Stegostoma tigrinum: one gene and its partner. The protein of the gene in region 1 interacts with the protein of each later gene in a biochemical or structural test. Links are inferred from orthologs where the notes say so. Each region holds a gene or a part of one and is shown on either strand. Other genes may lie near its edges.

Region 1 (8,163 bases):
CCTTCATCAGAGAGGGGGATGGGGGGAGGGAACTGGAATAAATAGGGAGAGAGGGGGAGGCGGACCAAAGGTGGAGAAGAGAGTATAGGTGGGGAGGTAGGGAGGGGATAGGTCAGTCCAGGGAAGACGGACAGGTCAAGGAGGTGGGATGAAGTTAGTAGTTAGGAGATGGAGGTGTGGCTTGGGGTGGGAGGAAGAGATGGGTGAGAGGAAGAACAGGTTAGGGAGGCAGAGACAGGTTGGACTGGTTTTGGGATGCAGTGGGGGGAGGGGAAGAGCTGGGCTGGTTGTGTGGTGCAGTGGGGGGAGGGGACGAACTGGGCTGGTTTTGGGATACGGTGGGGGAAGGGGAGATTTTGAAGCTGGTGAAGTCCACATTGATACCATTGGGCTGCAGGGTTCCCAAGCGGAATATGAGTTGCTGTTCCTGCAACTACGGGTGGCATCCTTGTGGCACTGCAGGAGGCCCATGGTGGGCATGCCATCTAAAGAATGGGAGGGAGAGTGGAAATGGTTTGCAACTGGGAGGTGCAGTTGTTTATTGCGAACCGAGCGGAGGTGTTCTGCAAAGCAGTCCCCAAGCCTCCGCTTGGTTTCCCCAATGTAGAGGTAGCCACACCGGGTACAATGGATGCAGTATACCACATTGGCAGATGTGCAGGTGAACCTCTGCTTGATATGGAAAAAGTGATCTTGGGGCCTGGGATAGGGGTGAGGGAGGAGGTGTGGGGGTAAGTGTAGCATTTCCTGCGGTTGCAGGGGAAGGTGCCGGGTGTGGTGGAGTTGGAGGGCAGTGTGGAGCGAACAAGGGAGTCACTGAGAGAGTGGTCTATTCCGGAAAGCAGACAAGGGTGGGGATGGAAAAATGTCTTGGGTGGTGGGGTCGGATTGTAGATGGCGGAAGTGTCGGAGTATGATGCATTGTATCCGGAGGTTGGTGGGGTGGTGTGTGAGAATGAGGGGGATCCTCTTAGGGCGGTTGTGGCGGGGGCGGGGTGTGAGGGATGTGTTGCAGGAATTGCGGGAGACGCGGTCAAGGGCGTTCTCGACCACTGTGGGGGGAAAATTGCAGTCCTTGAAGAACTTGGACATCTGGGATGTGCGGGAGTGGAATGCCTCATCGTGGGAGCAGATGCAGCGGAGGCGGAGGAATTGGGAATAGGGGATGGAATTTTTGCAGGAGGGTGGGTGGGAGGAGGTGTATTCTAGGTAGCTGTGGGAGTCGGTGGGCTTGAAATGGACATCAGTTACAAGCTGGTTGCCTGAGATGGAGATTGAGGGGTCCTGGAAGGTGAGGGATTTGTGTATACGGGTTTAAACAGGGGTTTGTCTACCATGCACATGAACTTTTGATTGCTTGAAAATCTAGCCATTTCATTTGTTTAGAAAAGGATTGTACAGAGTCATCTGAAACTGGCACCAAGAATTAGCAGTCATCTCCAACATACCAGAAACATTTCACTGCACTCTCATAACATCAACCTAATCCAGCTGCATCTTGTTCTTTCACTTATTTTCTTTGCTTTTCTGAACTACACAAACTTGAAAATGAGGATGGCTTAAAAAAGATTTTTTTGCAATATATCTACTTGTTTCACACTTACAATAACCATTGACATAAATAGTGAAGGAATGATTTGAGGATTATGATGTTAGTTACCATTTAAAATGCAATTGCACACTTATCTACACTAGGCAGATTAAGTTTAAAAACATTCCATTAAAATACAACCAAAACTTTAATGTGCAAAGGTGAAATAATGCCACACGTTCCTTGTGAGGTAGAAAAAAAGTTGCAGCTTAACTGCAAAATAGTTGCTCAAATAGTTTCCAAAACAGATCAAAATGATTTAAATAGAAAACACCTTTGGGTAATAGTTAGACACATATCACTACAGCCTGGGGGTGGTGAATGCTCAGAGTCATCAGGGAAATATTCATCATGCTCACTGCTGTTGAAGATACAAATGCTACATTCCCCTTTCATCTGTAAAAACTCCACGATAATGCCAAATATTTGAGCATTCCCTCCCCCTACCCCTCCCGCTAATAATAATCAGCTGACTGGCGGAAAATCTGATCAATTATTCAGAGAGAACAACTATGCAGCAAATTCAGATCCCACCAACTCCTGAAAAAGAAGTTGCAAAGTTTGGGACTGGCCACACGTTCAAAGTTTTCCGATTATAGATCTTCCAGCTGTCGTTGGCATATTTTCGGTGCAGTGGCTCAGGGAGAATTTCAAAGTGCTGGGAAGTTTTTTCTAGTCTCAATGACTTGCTCTGTAGGCGAGGAAAAAGTCAGATGCTTGAACGCGACATAGCAAGTGCTAAACCAGCTGCGGCCCTCACCCACTGACCAAAAAAAACCTAAATTAAAAATAAAAATACAGCACATCCTCACCCACGCCTGGTGCATACTGCGCATTGTCGAGTACGGGGGAAGATTGAGTGCACGCCGCCCTCAACACACACTTTAGCCATTCCAGCACTACCAGGTTATAGAGCCACTCCCACCTGTAACTGGGAGGAAGTGGAAGTGTAATCGTGGAATTGCTGGTCGAAATGTATTGTTTCTTCATATCAATATACATTAAAATATGTATTACGAACAAATTCTATATAATTCACGTGAACAAAACAAGTGAACCTAAAACCAACGCCTTCAAATCCGAGAACGGTCAATATGGAGAAGCGGCAATAAAACTTCTCAGTTTCATTTTTCCTACAAGAATTCGGTTTTTGATCTAAAGTCTAATGTCAACAGCGCGACTCCGGGATCACAACAGCAACAACTTTTAGCTGCTACCCATTCACCCTCGCAGTGTTTACACACATTTCCTTATCATCGCTCCCATTCACAATAAGCAGCACTTGCGGATCCCAATCTCCAATGAACGTTATTTTTAAAAAAAAGTTAAAACAGGCGGGAGGGAGAGAGGGCACTCTTCCTCGCAAACGTGCGGCGTTTAATCCTCCAAGAAAGGGGGGGGGGGGGGTAACTGTTAAATACAAGTTGGGGTCGTGAAAGAAAATAGTTGCAAATCAGAAGCAAGAAAAAAAGCCTTCCGACGCCGATACAATGTGGAAAAGAAATACGATTACTCTATGTTCTATGTATTCAGGAAACTCATTGAAGTGTTACAGAGATGGGGTGAGTGGGGAGATAACATTTTGTAAAGGGGTTTATTTAAGTTTGCATACTTATTTCAACGACCTTTCGTGTTTTCAAGGACTGAAGGGAACAGTTTTGCTCCGGTTGCAGTGAGGAGAGTGGGGTTCTTAGAGGGACATACCTGGGCTAAGTCGTCCGTCGCCAGCATCCTCGCCGCTGGACTCTTCATGCCGTCGAACATCGCCTCCTCCGCCTGAAGACCTACCGGTTTGAGTTGGGTGAAGACAGGCTCGTCCGAGCTGCCCCCGCCCAAACTGCCCCTCACTGCACCGCAGGCCATTTGCTCCACACGGTCACAGGGAGTGCGTTTCTGCGTGTGGTGAGTATAAGATCCGCATCCGCCGCAAACACTCTGCCTGCCGCCCGGGATCCCGCAGTTTTCACTCGCACCCACTGACTGCCGACTCTCCAAACATTCCTGCCACTTCCACCCCGGGACACCCGGGCATCCAACCCTCCTCTCCCCCACACCCGCCAAACTCCGGCCACAACCGTGACCGACAGCACAAACCACCAATCAGGATCCAGATCCCCATCCGAGCGATGGGCGCACTCACCAATCAGCCCCCACCAGTGGATGGGGAGGCGGGCTCTCCTGGAAGCATCAGGTTACACGCTCACTCACCAGGTATGTGCTGAGGTAACGTTTACTTAGATGTTTCAAGGCTGCGCTGGTACAGCGGTAATATCCCTCCCTCTAGGCTAGGTGACTCGGGTTTAAGTCCCGCTTGCCCCAGAAACTGTGTTTCCCCCCCCAAAAAAACTACCGCTTTGGTTTCAAACATCCGAACCTGTTATTGGGATTCAGAGCGATTGAAGTAATCCTTCCCAATTTTTAAGTGGAAGTGCACTTTTGGAGTGCCGTCAAAGTTTCTCACTGTTTCGATTAGACTCGTAACCGGATGAAAAAAAAACACAAATCTGCCGTAGGGTTTCCAAGAATGTAGGAACAGATGGACACCACGGAGTTTATGAGTACCATAATTTAAATCTGCTCCGAGTAATTGTAATGAATACATCTTGTACTGAATCAGGCCAACGTTAGTGGTCAGGTGCCACCGCAGTTCAAATGCGTGGGGAGCGGGGGTGGGATGGTGTCGCAGAATTCACTTTAGACGTTCTACTGTGCATGAATAGATGCTGGATTTGCTTTCAAGGGTAGAACAACTTGTGTTGATAAACCACTGGAAGTTTTAATTTTTCTCCAGTGCTCATTGGCCTACATGACCCCCATTCCAACAATGTCTCAATTTTGATGTTTTTCCACATGACTGACACGCCGTTCGTGATCTCATTCCCTCCTTGTGTCTAGAACAATCTCCAGCTCTTCAACTCTGAAAGATCTCTGCTCCCCTCCAACCAACATCTTAGGCACCCCTGATCCCAACTGATTTGCCATTGGCAGTCGTGCCTACGCGCTGATCTCTGCAAATCTTTCCTATTTATCTCTCTTGTTTTCTGTCCTACATTAACTGGTCAAACCTGCCTCTCTGCCGTCATGATATCTCCTTGTATCCCAAATAAAATTATGTTTGCTAGTACTCCTGTGAAATGTGTTGGTCTGTTTCAGGAATTTAAAAGTACTGTAGCAGATATTTTAAGTGATATTTCAGAATTCACACAGTATAGGAAGTCCCCAACTTTTGAACATCAGAATTACAAACTCTCATGCTTACCAATGTGAACCCCAAACAGGACTGTAATTTTAAATATCAGGCTTACAAACATTTCCAGTACTTACAAGTGGCTGCTTTATAGTGCCATGCATTGTGTTCCGATTTGCATACAATCAACTTGCAAGTGGACTCAGGAACAAAACAGATACATTCCAACGATTAAGAATTATTCCAAGGGATGGACCACTTGTGGTATACTAGAAATTGTAAAGATAGTTACAAACTAAGAGAACTGGCATACAAGTATGCAAAGATGGGTTGGAGGTCAGAATTTGGGATGGAACAGAAAGAAAGCAAACAATGTCTACAAAAGTAGTAGCGAAGGAGTGATTACAGTGCAAGCCAGAAATAAAAATCAGACAGAGTTTCTGTAAATACTTACCGATGAAAAAAAAACTGGTGTTGGTCCTACAAACAATGACACAAGGGAATTAATGGAAAATAAACAAATGACAAATGAACAAGTACTTTGCATCAGTCCTTATGATGGAAGTTACAAGTAAAATCGCAGAAGTAGGAATAAATCAGGAAATTGAAAGGAGGAAGAAAATCACATCACCATCAAAGTAGTACTGAGTAAATTGGTGGAACTGTGGTCTGACATGGTCATGAGTACTGCTACACTTCATCCTAGCTTTCAAAAAGAAATAACAAGTGAGATAGTTGATGTAATTGTTTTGATTTTCCAAAGGTCCCTCTAGTTGGTGACACTCTCGTGAGATTGGACGGCAGTGAATTTAAGCCCATTATTCAAAAAGGGACCAAGGTAGAAAGCAAGAAAATACAGGCTCAACATATGTAATGGAAAAGATGTTAAAAGCTATTGTTAAAAAAGTTATCACAGGGAATTTGAAAAGTTCAAGTTTATCACACAATATGGTTCTGGGAATGGAAAATCATGTTTGACCAATGGATTGGACTTCTTTGAAGAGGTAACACATGCTATGGACAAAAAGGAACCAGTGAATGTACTGTACTAGATTTTAGGAAGGGATTTGATAAGGTGCCACATCAAAGGTTATTGCAAAAGACAAAGCTGATGGTTTTGCAGGGAATAAATTAGCTTTAGATGGAAGACTGGCCAGCTGACTTAAAGCGGCCACTCACGATAAATGTTTTTTTTCAAAAAGGAATAGAGGAAAACAGGAATTAGTGTTGTGGCCTGAACATTTTACAATTTATATTAATGAATGAGTTGGAGGGACAGAAGGTACTATTTCCAAATTGGCTGACAGCGTAAAAATAGGTAGAAATGTAAGTTGTGTAGAGGATGCAAGAAAGCTAACAAAAAGATTTATGACTGAGTGAGCAAAGATGTGGCAAATGAAGTACAATGTAATAAAATATGTAATTATCATCTTAAAAAGTATTGACTGGCCGAAAGAATAAAAAGGCTTTCGTTATATAAATAATGGGCAATTTAATAGCTCAGTTTCTTTTACTCAGTCATGAGATATTGTCAACTTTGGCTGAACCAATACTTATTGTCCATACCTAGTTTCCCTTGAGAAGGTGGTGGTCAGCTACCTGTTTGAACCATTACAATCTATTTGGTGGAAGTACATCCACAATGCCATTAGGAAGGCAGTTCTGGGATTTAAGCTTGTCAACACTGAAGAAACAGCGACATATTTTCAAGTCAGAATTATGAATGACTTGGAAGAAAACTTGCAGGTGGTTAGACCTTCAGACATAGGAGCGGAAATTAGGCCATTCAGCCCTCAAGTCTGCTGCACCAAGACTGATAAGTTTCTTAACCTCATTCTCCTGCTTTCTCCCCATAACCTTTGATCCCCTTGATAATCAAGAACCTATCTATCTCAGTCTTAAATATACTCAATGACCTGGCCTTCAGCCTTGTGTGGCAGTGAATTCTATAGATTCATACTCTCTGGCTGAATAAGTTTCTCCTTATCTCCATTCTAAAAGATCTTCGCTATACTCTGAGGCTGTGCGCTCAGGTCCTAGTCTCTCCTACTAATGAAAGCATTTTCCCAATATCCACTCTGTCCAAGCCATTCAGTATCCTGTAAGTTTCTAGATCCCCCCTCATCTTTCTAAACTCAAATGAGTCCCAGAGTTCTGAAACAATCCTCATATGTTAAGCTTTCCATTCTTGGGACCATTCTCATGAATCCCCTCTGAACGCGCTCCATGGCCAGTCCATCCTTCCTGAGATTTGGGGCCCAAAACTGCGCACAATACTCCAAATGTGGCCGAACCACAGCTTGTAACGCCTCAGTAGTATATCCCTGATTTTATATTCAAATCCTCTCAAAATAAATGCCAACATTGCATTTGCCTTCTGACTACTGACTCATCCTGCAAGTTTACCTTGGGAGAATCTTGGACTAACACTCGCAAGTCTCTTTGCACTTCAGACTTCTGAATTTTCTCCCCATTTAAAAAATAGTCCATGCTTTTACTCTTCTTACCAAACTGCATAACCTCAACTTTCCCATGTTGTACTCCATCTGCCACTTCTTCTCCTAACCTGTCCAAATCCATCTGCAGCCTCCCCACCTCCTCAATACTACCTGTCCTTCCACCTATCTTTGTTTCATCTGCAAAATTAGCCGGAATGCCCACAGTTCTTTCATCTACATCATGAATGTATAAAGTGAAATGTTGTGGTCCCAACAATGACCCTTGCAGAACACCACTTGTCACCGGCTGCCATCCTGAGAAAGACCCTTTTATTCCATTACCTTGCTTTCTGCCAGACAGCCAATCTTCTATCCATGCTAGCACCTTGCCTCTAACACCATGGGCCCTTACCTTACTCAGCAGCCTCCTGTGCTGCACCTTGTCAAAGGTCTTCCTGAAGTCAAGGTAAATAACATCCATTAGCTCTCCTTGGTCTACCCTGCTCATTATTTGCTCAAAGAATTCTAACAGATTTGTCAGGCACGACCTCCCCTTAAGTAAACCATGCTGACTTTGCCATACTTCACCACAGACCTTCAAATATTCAGAAATCGCATCCTTTACAATGGACTCCAAAATCTTATCCATGACTGACGTTAGGCTAATTGGCCTGTAATTCTCCATGTTTTGTCTCACACCCTTTTTAAACAGGGATGGCACATAGCAATTTTCCAGTCCTCTGGGACACTTCCTGACTCGAGAGATTCCTGAAAGACCACCACTAACGCTTCCACTGTCTCTTCGGCTATCTCCTTTGGAAATCTGGGGTGTAGTCCATTTGGTCTAGGTGGTTTATCCAGCTTAAGGCCAATCAGTTTTACCAGCACCTTTTCCATGGTGATGTCCACCATACTCAGTTCTGACCCCTGACTCTATTGAATTTTTG
Region 2 (8,718 bases), on another chromosome or scaffold:
CACCACCACATCGCCTCTTGAGGGAAGAGCTCCTTATTTTCAAATACAAAAGTTAATTGTCTGAAATGGCCAATAACTGAGGCACTGCAGCATTTGAACGTCCATAACCAGAAACTGTTTTGGATTTAGTGATTATCTCCAATGACCTGCTTGTCAATGTAAACAGTTTGGTCTTCTTGTGAAGTTGGACAAGAGTGATCAAAAGCATTCAGGTTCAGCACCAGAGGACCTAGAGGCTGTGGGCTTTCACCTGCCATGGAGGCCATATACCAACCCTCAAATCCTACTGGTCTGAAGGAGGAGTGCCCTCATCTGTTTACCAATATTTCTGAGGGATAAAGGGCTGATAGGGAAGCAAGGACAGCTGCTATAACTGGTTCTATTAAAGCAATCTGCAAATCGGGTGGTTAACATATTGAAGAAAACAGTGAATCAGCCAAGGGACTTTTAAACCGCAAAACATACACAAATTTATGATAAACAATCTTCCCATTGAAACACACTGCTGGATTTGGATGAATGGTTAAATCTAACAATATTAATTTGTTCTGCCCATGTAATGTGCAACAGCCAAGCTTTGCCAGTTGTAAGAATTCCCCATCCATGAGGAAACTGAGGGCTGAATATGCTGCTGGTCCTTTGCTCACTAGTGGCATTGGTGGAGATATAATTGACATATTTTTCCTTTGTTGGTGGTTGTGCTTTCAGTTGACTGGTTCCTAAGCTTTTCCTCCCTAAACTCTTTTGCATTTCTTTCTATCTTTCTTCATTAGGGGACCAATATCCTGGTGGGGAAATTTGCTAGAGCTCCTTGGGAGGATTTAATATAGTCTGGCTAGGGGTGGGGTCCAAAGCAGTAGGAAGATGAAAGAGAAAGTTGAGGATAGTACAGAGGTTACTGAGAACAAGTTAAATAGTAAAGGCAGTGTTGCCATTCTCAGGACTAGGCAGGGCCAGCAAGGGCACAGCTGGAAGGAAGGGATGTCTGTGTTAAACTGCATTTATTTCAATGCAAGAGGCCTGACAGGTAAGGCGAATGAATTTTGGCATGGATGGATACATGGGAACATGGGAACTGGGATATTATAGTTGTTATAGAGACATGGCTGAGGGAAGGACAGAACTGGCAGCTCAATATTCCAGGGCACAGATGGTATTGGAAGTATAGAAGGGGAGGCAAGAAAGGAGGGGGAGTAGTGTTTTTGGTTGGGGAGAACATCACAGCAGTGCTGAGAGAAGATATTCTTGAGGGTTCATCCACTGAGTCGATATGGGTAGAACTCAGAAACAAAAAGGTGACGGGATCACTTTGATAGCATTGTACAATAGGTCTCCAAAATAGTCAGCCAGAGATTGAGGAGCAAATATGTAAGGATATCACAGATAGCTGCAAGACTAATAGGGTTGTAATAGTAGAGGATTTTTACTTCCTTCACATCGAATGGGATTGCCATAGTGTTAAGGGCTTGGATGGGCATAAATTGGTTAAGTGTGTTCAGGAAGAATTTCTCAATCAGTATGTATATGACCCGACTAGAATTGGGGAAAAACTTGAGCTTCTCTTGGGAAATATGGCAGGGAAAGTGATGGAAGTGTTAATGCAGTAGCACTTTGGAACCAGTGACCATGATTCCATTAGTTTTAACTTAGCTATGGAAAAGGATAAGTCTGTTCAACAAGCTAAAGTTCTCAATTGGGCTTAGCCAATTTTGATGGTCTTAGACAGGAACTTTCAAAGTTGATTACAGGAGGCTGTTTGCATGTAAAGTGACATCTGGTAAGTGGAAGGCTTTCAAAATTGAGATGGGGATTCAGGACCAGCATGTTCCTGTTAGAGTGAAGGGTAAGGTTGGCAGGAGCAGGGAACCCTGGATGAGTTATTGAGGCCCTGGTCAAAATAAAGAAGGAGGCATATGACATGTATAGGCAGCAGGGACGAAGTGAATTCCCTGAGAAGTATAAAGGATTTCGGAGTACACTTAAGAGAGAAATCAGGAGGGCTAAAAGTGGACACAAGATGGCTTTGGCAGATAAGTTAAAGGAGAATCCAAAGCAATTCTACAAGTATACAAAGGGCAAAAGAGTATCTGGGGACAGAATAGGGTCTCTTAAAGATCAACAACATTGTTTATGAGCAGAGCCAAAAAAGATGGGTGATATCCTAAATGCATATTTGTCATTGATATTTACCATCAAGAATGGAATGGACACGAGGGAACTTGGGGGAAATAAATAGTGATGCCTTGAAAAGAATTCACATTACAGAAGAGGAGGTGCTGGAAGCTTTAAGAAGCATTAAGGTAGATGAATCCCCAGAACCCAATGAACAGTATCATTGTCAGAGGCTAGGGAGGAAATTGCAGGGGGTGGAGATATTTGTATAATCAACAGCCACCTGTGATGCAACTGAAGATTGGAGGGTGGCTAATGTTGTGTCATTATTTAAGAAACACTGAAGGGAAACGCCTGGGAACTATAGACTGGTGAGCCTAACATCTGTGATGGGTGAGTTGTTCGAGGGCATTTGGAGAGGCAACAACTCATTTGGGATAGTCAGCATGTCTCACGAATTTGAGTTTTTTGAAGAGGGGACCAAGAGAGTAGATGAAGACTAAGTGGTCGATGATGTCTACATGGTCTTTAGCAAGGCCTTTGACACAATACCAAACAAAAGGCTGTTGAGTATGGTTATATCTCATGAGATCCAGAGAGAAGTAGCCAACTGTATACAAAAGTAGCTTGACAGTAGAAGACAAATGATGGTGATAAGAGATTGTTTTTCACACTGGAGTCCTGTGACCAGCAGTGTGCCACAGGGTTTGGTGCTGGGTCCACTGTTATTTGTCATTTATATAAATGATTTGAATGAGAATTTAGGGGGTATGGATGAAACTTAGTGGTATAGTGACAGTGAAGAAGGTTATCTTCGAATGCAGCGAGATCTTGATCAACTGAGCCAGTGGGCTGAGGAATAGCAGATGGAGTTTAACTTAGATAAAGGCACGATGTTGCGTTTTGGGGGGTCAAACCAGAGCAGGACAGAGATCTAAAGGTACAGGTTCATAGCTCCTTGAAATTAGAGTCACAGGTAGACAGAGTGGTGAAGAAGACTTTCAACATGCTTGTTTTCATCAGTCAGAGCACTGGGTATAGAAGTTGGGATGTCTTGTTGCAGCTATACAAGATGTTTGGAGCACTGCATGCATTCTGGCCTCCATTATAGAAAGAATATAAGTAAACTAGGAAGAGCTCAGAAAGATTTACTAGGATTCTATCAGGACTGGAAGGTTTGAGTTCTAAGGAGAGGTTGGATAGGCTGGGACTTTGTTCCTTGGAGCAAAGAAGGCTGAAGGCAATCTTATGAATGTCTACAAAATCATACGAGTTATTGATAAGGTAGATAGCCAACAGCTTTTCCCCTTGGAAGGGGAGTCTAAAACCAGAGGCCATAGGTTTAGCTTGAGAGGGAAAACATAAACCAGGATCTAGAGGGGCAAATTTTTCACACAGAGGGTAGAGAGTGTCTGGAACAGCCTGCAAGACATAGTGGTAGAAGTGACTACAACTTCATCATCATTTAGGAAACATTTAGACACATACATGGATGGGATAGATATGGAAGGATATCGACCAAATGTATGCAAATGAGACTAGTTTAATTGAGACCACTTCAGGGGTTTCAATGAGATCACCTTGGTGGCTTAGTGGTTAGCACTACAGCCTCAAAGCACCAGGGACCCAGGTTCAATCCCAGCCTCCGGCGACTGTCTGTGTGGAGTCGCACATTCTCCCCGTGTCTGCCTGGGTTTCCTCCAGGTGCTCCGGTTTACTCCCACAGTCCAAAGATGTGCAGTCTAGTGGATTGGCCATGCTAAATTGCCCATAGTGTTCAGGGGTGTGTGGGTTATAGGGGAATGGGTCTGGGTGGGATGCTTCAAGGGGCGGTGTGGACTTGTTGGACCGAAGGGCCTGTTTCCACGCTGTAGGTAATCTAATCTAATCTAAAACTGGACGCATGGGTAAGTGGGGCCTAAGGGTCTGTTTCCATGCTGTAGACCTCTATTACTCTATCTAATACATTACTTAAAACCAATTTTTTGATCAAGTTTTTGGCCATTTGTTCTTATACTTCCTCCAGCTACAGTCAAAAATATTTTTACTGATAAAGCACATTGTTAAGCACGTGTTTTATATGTTATTATGGTTGTAGTATGTGATCAACCATACCTGTCTCAATGACTTTTACAGCAGAAGGTGACCAGTTTCTGAACGTAACAAAAACTGAAAGAACTGCAGATGCTGTACATGAGGAGCAAAAACAGAAGTTGCTGGAAAAGCTGAGCAGGTCAGAACCTTGAGTTCTGAGGAAGGATCACTGGACCCGAAACGTTAACATTGATATTTCCTCCACAGACGCTGCCAGACTTGCTGAGCTTTTCCAGCAACTTGTTTCAATTTCTGAATTTGCTGGCAGTAAAAGATAAATTTATATAATGTGCTGCCTAGAAGTACGTAGAATTCTCGGTGTGCAGGTTGCGAGGATTTCTATGCGCAGATTTTGACAAGATGGCTAGCTATCGTTTATCCTATATCTTCAGCATATAATACTATTTGTCCCAGACATCAGATTCCTTAAGTAATTGCGCTGTTCGGAACTTTGTTGTGGCAAGAGACTCCGAAGAAGACTTCAGACACATTTCACGGATGCCCTCAAAGGCATGAACTTTCCCATCACCTCATGGGAGTCCCTCGCTTGTCGATGAACTCAAATGCAAAAGGAAGGCATTGGGAGCATGCTGAAGCAAAACTGAAGCGTTGGTGACAGCACAGAAATCTCCAAATACCTAATGTTCTTGACCCTTCAAGCACAACTTATTCTGCATGTGGCAAAGTCTGCAGGTCAGCGAGGTATCATTCTGGACTGGAGGCGCAACCCCAGTTTCTCTCCACAGAAGCTGCCAGACCTGAGTTTCTCAGGTAATTTCTGTTTTCGTTTCAGGTTTGCAGTGTCCTCCGTATTTTGCTTTTATTGCTTGAACACACAATACCGCCTGAGAATGTTTGTGGGATGGAGGCTGAAGAATCTGAACATCGTTTACTCGGTGCATTTAGAGAGATACAATTGCTCTAGCCGTTCAGCATAAACACCCTACAGCTTTCCAACTCCCCCGACACCGCGGGTGCACCGCCGGACAGCAAGCAAGAGGAGCACGGCTCTGACGTGCGCGCCGTCCGGACGGTCTGGGCGTCGCACGTGCGCGCTCTCGCACTCGCGGGGTGTCGCGCGCACTCGAGCGGTGACGGTGCCGCGCCGGAGATGGGGATTGGCGAGTGGGGCTGCGCGGCGGAGCGGAGATACGGAGAGTGAGGGGGAGCCAGAGCCGGATCGGCAGGGCCAGGGAGGAGGAGGAGGGTGAGGACGGCCTTTAAACGGGTGAGTGGTGTAGGCCCCGGACTGCGGGCTGCAAACCGTGGCCCTTGTCTGTATGTCCGTCCGGTTTGGATGCTGTTCCCGTTTGGCCCACTCCGAGCAGGGAGACTCTTCGGACGCTCTGGGTTCTGACCGGAATTGTGAGTGATGGGGATGGAGGAGGCTGCGGCTGGGCCCTGCCTCTCCTCCCCTCCCCTCCCCTCCCCTTCCCTTCCCTCAGGGCAGCCACGGCGGAGGAGGCCGAGGCCCCGACCCTGAGCCCATGGAGATAAACCGAATGCCGGCAAAGGGCCTGGGGGTCGGGACTGGGGGAAGGAGAGACAACATGGAGCTGCTGATCCGGCTTTCCAGCCGAGTTTCAGCTGGCACCTCTTACTCAATCCAGACTGTGGAGAATAGAAATGTTACATTAATAAAACTCCTTGTCAAAGGAGTGGACATTTGCAGCACGCTCTCTTCTCCCCCCCCCCCCCAGGTTTGTTTTCTTTAAAATTGCTGATACATGGATGAGAGTTGACCTGGGCCAACTGGGAGACATGGGTTTAGTTTGTGTTCGGGACTGAAGTGGACTCTTGTCTGGTCTCTGTCTTCGAGCCGGGAGGATGAGATGGCTTGGTTGTGGTGTGTGGGGGCGGGCGGTTGTTGTTTGTGAGAAGGGACCACTGCAATTCCAACTGCATGCTGCCCTCCTGGCAATCACAAAGTGTCCGTGACCATGACGAAGCAGCCAGCAGCACGTCTTAATATTTGTACACAAGCGCTTTTGGCCAAAATCTTTCTCGATCTTCTTGCTGGTAGTGGGCATTACAATCCAGGGCACCCGATGTGATTGAAGAGGGAGCAGCGTTTGCAGGTTTTGCCGTTTAACGAAATGCATTTTCTCAGGGTGTTTTAAAAATGTTTTCTGGATTCCTGTCAGCTGTAGCTGACTCCCCGCCCGCCCCTTGCTTGCAAGTTCCAAGATCCGAGAATTCCTGGATTCCTCTGCCTCTGCTGACAGAAGTAGAATATTGCAGCATCTTAGTACCAGGCCTCTAAAAAAGGCCCAGTAATATCTGCAAGTATACAGCCCGATGAGCTGTTTACAGCTTTGTAATTACTGTGTATAGATATATGGGAGATTTAAAAATCTGAAAAGGAAAATTACAGTTGTCGTGACCCACTAACGTTGCTCAAATGACAGCTGGTATAATTCAGGAAAGCCCTGCAAATCCGTTGAATTTAGATTGTCTTTGTAAAATAAAATTTCTTCTCTGTAAAATCAAAAAGAACATAGAACAATACAGCGCAGAACAGGCCCTTCGGCCCTCGATGTTGCGCCGACCTGTGAACTAATCTAAGCCCCTCCCCCTACACTATCCCATCATCACCCATATGCTTAGCCAAGGAGTTAAGACCGTAACATGAAATTTAATCATAATTACTTTAGGAAGATGTGTGCAGAGTGCAAAGCCTCAATTTCTCGTGTTTAATAGTGTATTAGTTTGCTGTTTGTGTTGTTTATGGCTTATGGTTGTATGAAAGTTATTGGTTGTCAGTATTCAAATTAATGTCCAAAATATTATTTGAAATTAGTTAAAACTGTATCTTAAATTACAGGTCTTGAATTCTGTTCATGCTAAGTATTTATGTTGAGAGCTTTTTTGAACAAAATCTTGACTTGTCTCAAGCCTGATACCTATAATATATTTATGTTGAATGTCTGGTTTTCTTACACAGCCCATGATGCTTCGTTTGCTGTGGCCACCTGGACAGTTATCTCCAAGTTGCAGATATTTTGCTAAATCACCTCCTCTTGATAGCTAATTCATTTGTAGTACTGTATAGGACTGCATGAACCCATGGTTTGACCAGTGACTAAGAGTACAGCCTTTTCAGTTACTGCAGTTTGGAGTTTTTGCATTTATGAACTTACATATTTGATTGTCCTATAAATCAGAAGAGGGTCAAAGTACATACAAGAACACCTTTAAAAGAAGTTCTTGTGATTTGACATTAGTTTAGCTTGGTTTTCAAACTGTTATTCAAGAAGTGAGCTAGGGATGAAGCAGGAAACTACAGACCAGTCAGTCAAACCTCTGATAACAAGGTGCAGAGCTGGATGAACACAGCAGGCCAAGCAGCATCAAAGGAGCAGGAAGGCTGACGTTTCGGGTCAAGACCCTTCTTCAGAAATGGGGGAGGGGAAGGGGATTCTGAAATGAAAAGGGAGACGGGGGAGGTGAATAGCAGATGGATAAAGGAGAAAGTAGGGTGAGAGGAGACAGACAGGTCAAAGAGGCGGGGATGGAGCCAGTAAAGTTGAATGTAGGTGGGGAGTTAGGGAAGCGATAGAGATTCCTGCTCCTTTGTTTGGCCTGGTGTCCATCCAGCTCTACACCTTGTTATCTCAGATTCTCCAGCATCTGCAGTTCCTAGCATCTCAATCTAACCCCAATAGTCGGGAAGCTAATAGGAACAATTCTGAAGTACAAAATTAATCTGCCTTTTGGATAGGCAAGAATTCATCAAGAATAATAACATAGTGTCGTTAAGCGGAGTACATGTCTGACCAATTTGAATCCTTCAAAGAGATAACTGGGTGTGTAGATGAGGGCAATACATTGGACGTAATTGATTGGAAGCAAGGCAGTTGATAAGATCTTGTACGGGAGACTGATAGCAAAGGTAAAAGCCTATGGGATCCAGAATTGGCTGAATGACAGGAAGAAGAGGCTGATGGTTGAGATGTGTTTTTGACTGGAAGCCTGTGCCAGGTGGGATTCTGCAGAGATCAGTATTGTGGCGCTTGCTGTTTGTGGTATATATAAATGGTTTAGCCTTGAACGTAAGAAGTTTAATCAGTAAGTTCACTGATGGCCCAGACATTAGTGAGGTGGATAGCCTTAGATTACAGGAGGACGTGGATGGGCTGGCCAGATGGCTGATCAGTGGCAAACGGATATAATCCAAGTAAGTGTGAGATGATTCACTTGGGTAGGAAAAACAAGATAAGGGAGTATGTACGAATGGCTTGGACCTTGCAAAGCAGTGAGGATCAGAGGGAGCTGGTGCGTCTGTCCGTCCGTCCACTGGTCACTTGAGATAGTGGAAGATAGAGTGGTTAAGAAGACATATTGATACTTGCCATCAAATGAAGAAACATTCATGACGATTAGTTGTTTGTCTTTGGAGTTTACTACTTGAGGGATCTTTGGAGATTTGGATGATGAATGCATTTAAGACCAAGGTTGTTAGATTTTTGGGTACTGAGGAAAATAAGAGGATAATGTGGAAAGGTGGAGTTT

Evidence for each region.
Region 2: of the proteins of klf5a (region 1) and NEDD4-like E3 ubiquitin-protein ligase WWP1, one has a biochemical effect on the other in vitro, tested with the Homo sapiens proteins (4 studies listed by BioGRID, with this or other methods). The link is inferred for Stegostoma tigrinum from reciprocal best matches to the Homo sapiens genes KLF5 and WWP1.

What each region holds. Positions count from the first base shown.
Region 1 is NC_081359.1:25,687,157-25,695,319, reverse strand, and holds the start of klf5a (Krueppel-like factor 5), read right to left. Parts: upstream 3,648-8,163; 5' UTR 3,455-3,647; coding exon 3,296-3,454; intron 2,513-3,295; exon of another isoform or gene 2,428-2,512; coding exon of another isoform or gene 2,404-2,427; intron 1-2,403. UniProt on the Homo sapiens protein: Transcription factor that binds to GC box promoter elements. Activates the transcription of these genes.
Region 2 is NC_081358.1:85,845,450-85,854,167, forward strand, and holds the start of NEDD4-like E3 ubiquitin-protein ligase WWP1, read left to right. Parts: upstream 1-5,302; 5' UTR 5,303-5,434; intron 5,435-8,718. UniProt on the Homo sapiens protein: E3 ubiquitin-protein ligase which accepts ubiquitin from an E2 ubiquitin-conjugating enzyme in the form of a thioester and then directly transfers the ubiquitin to targeted substrates.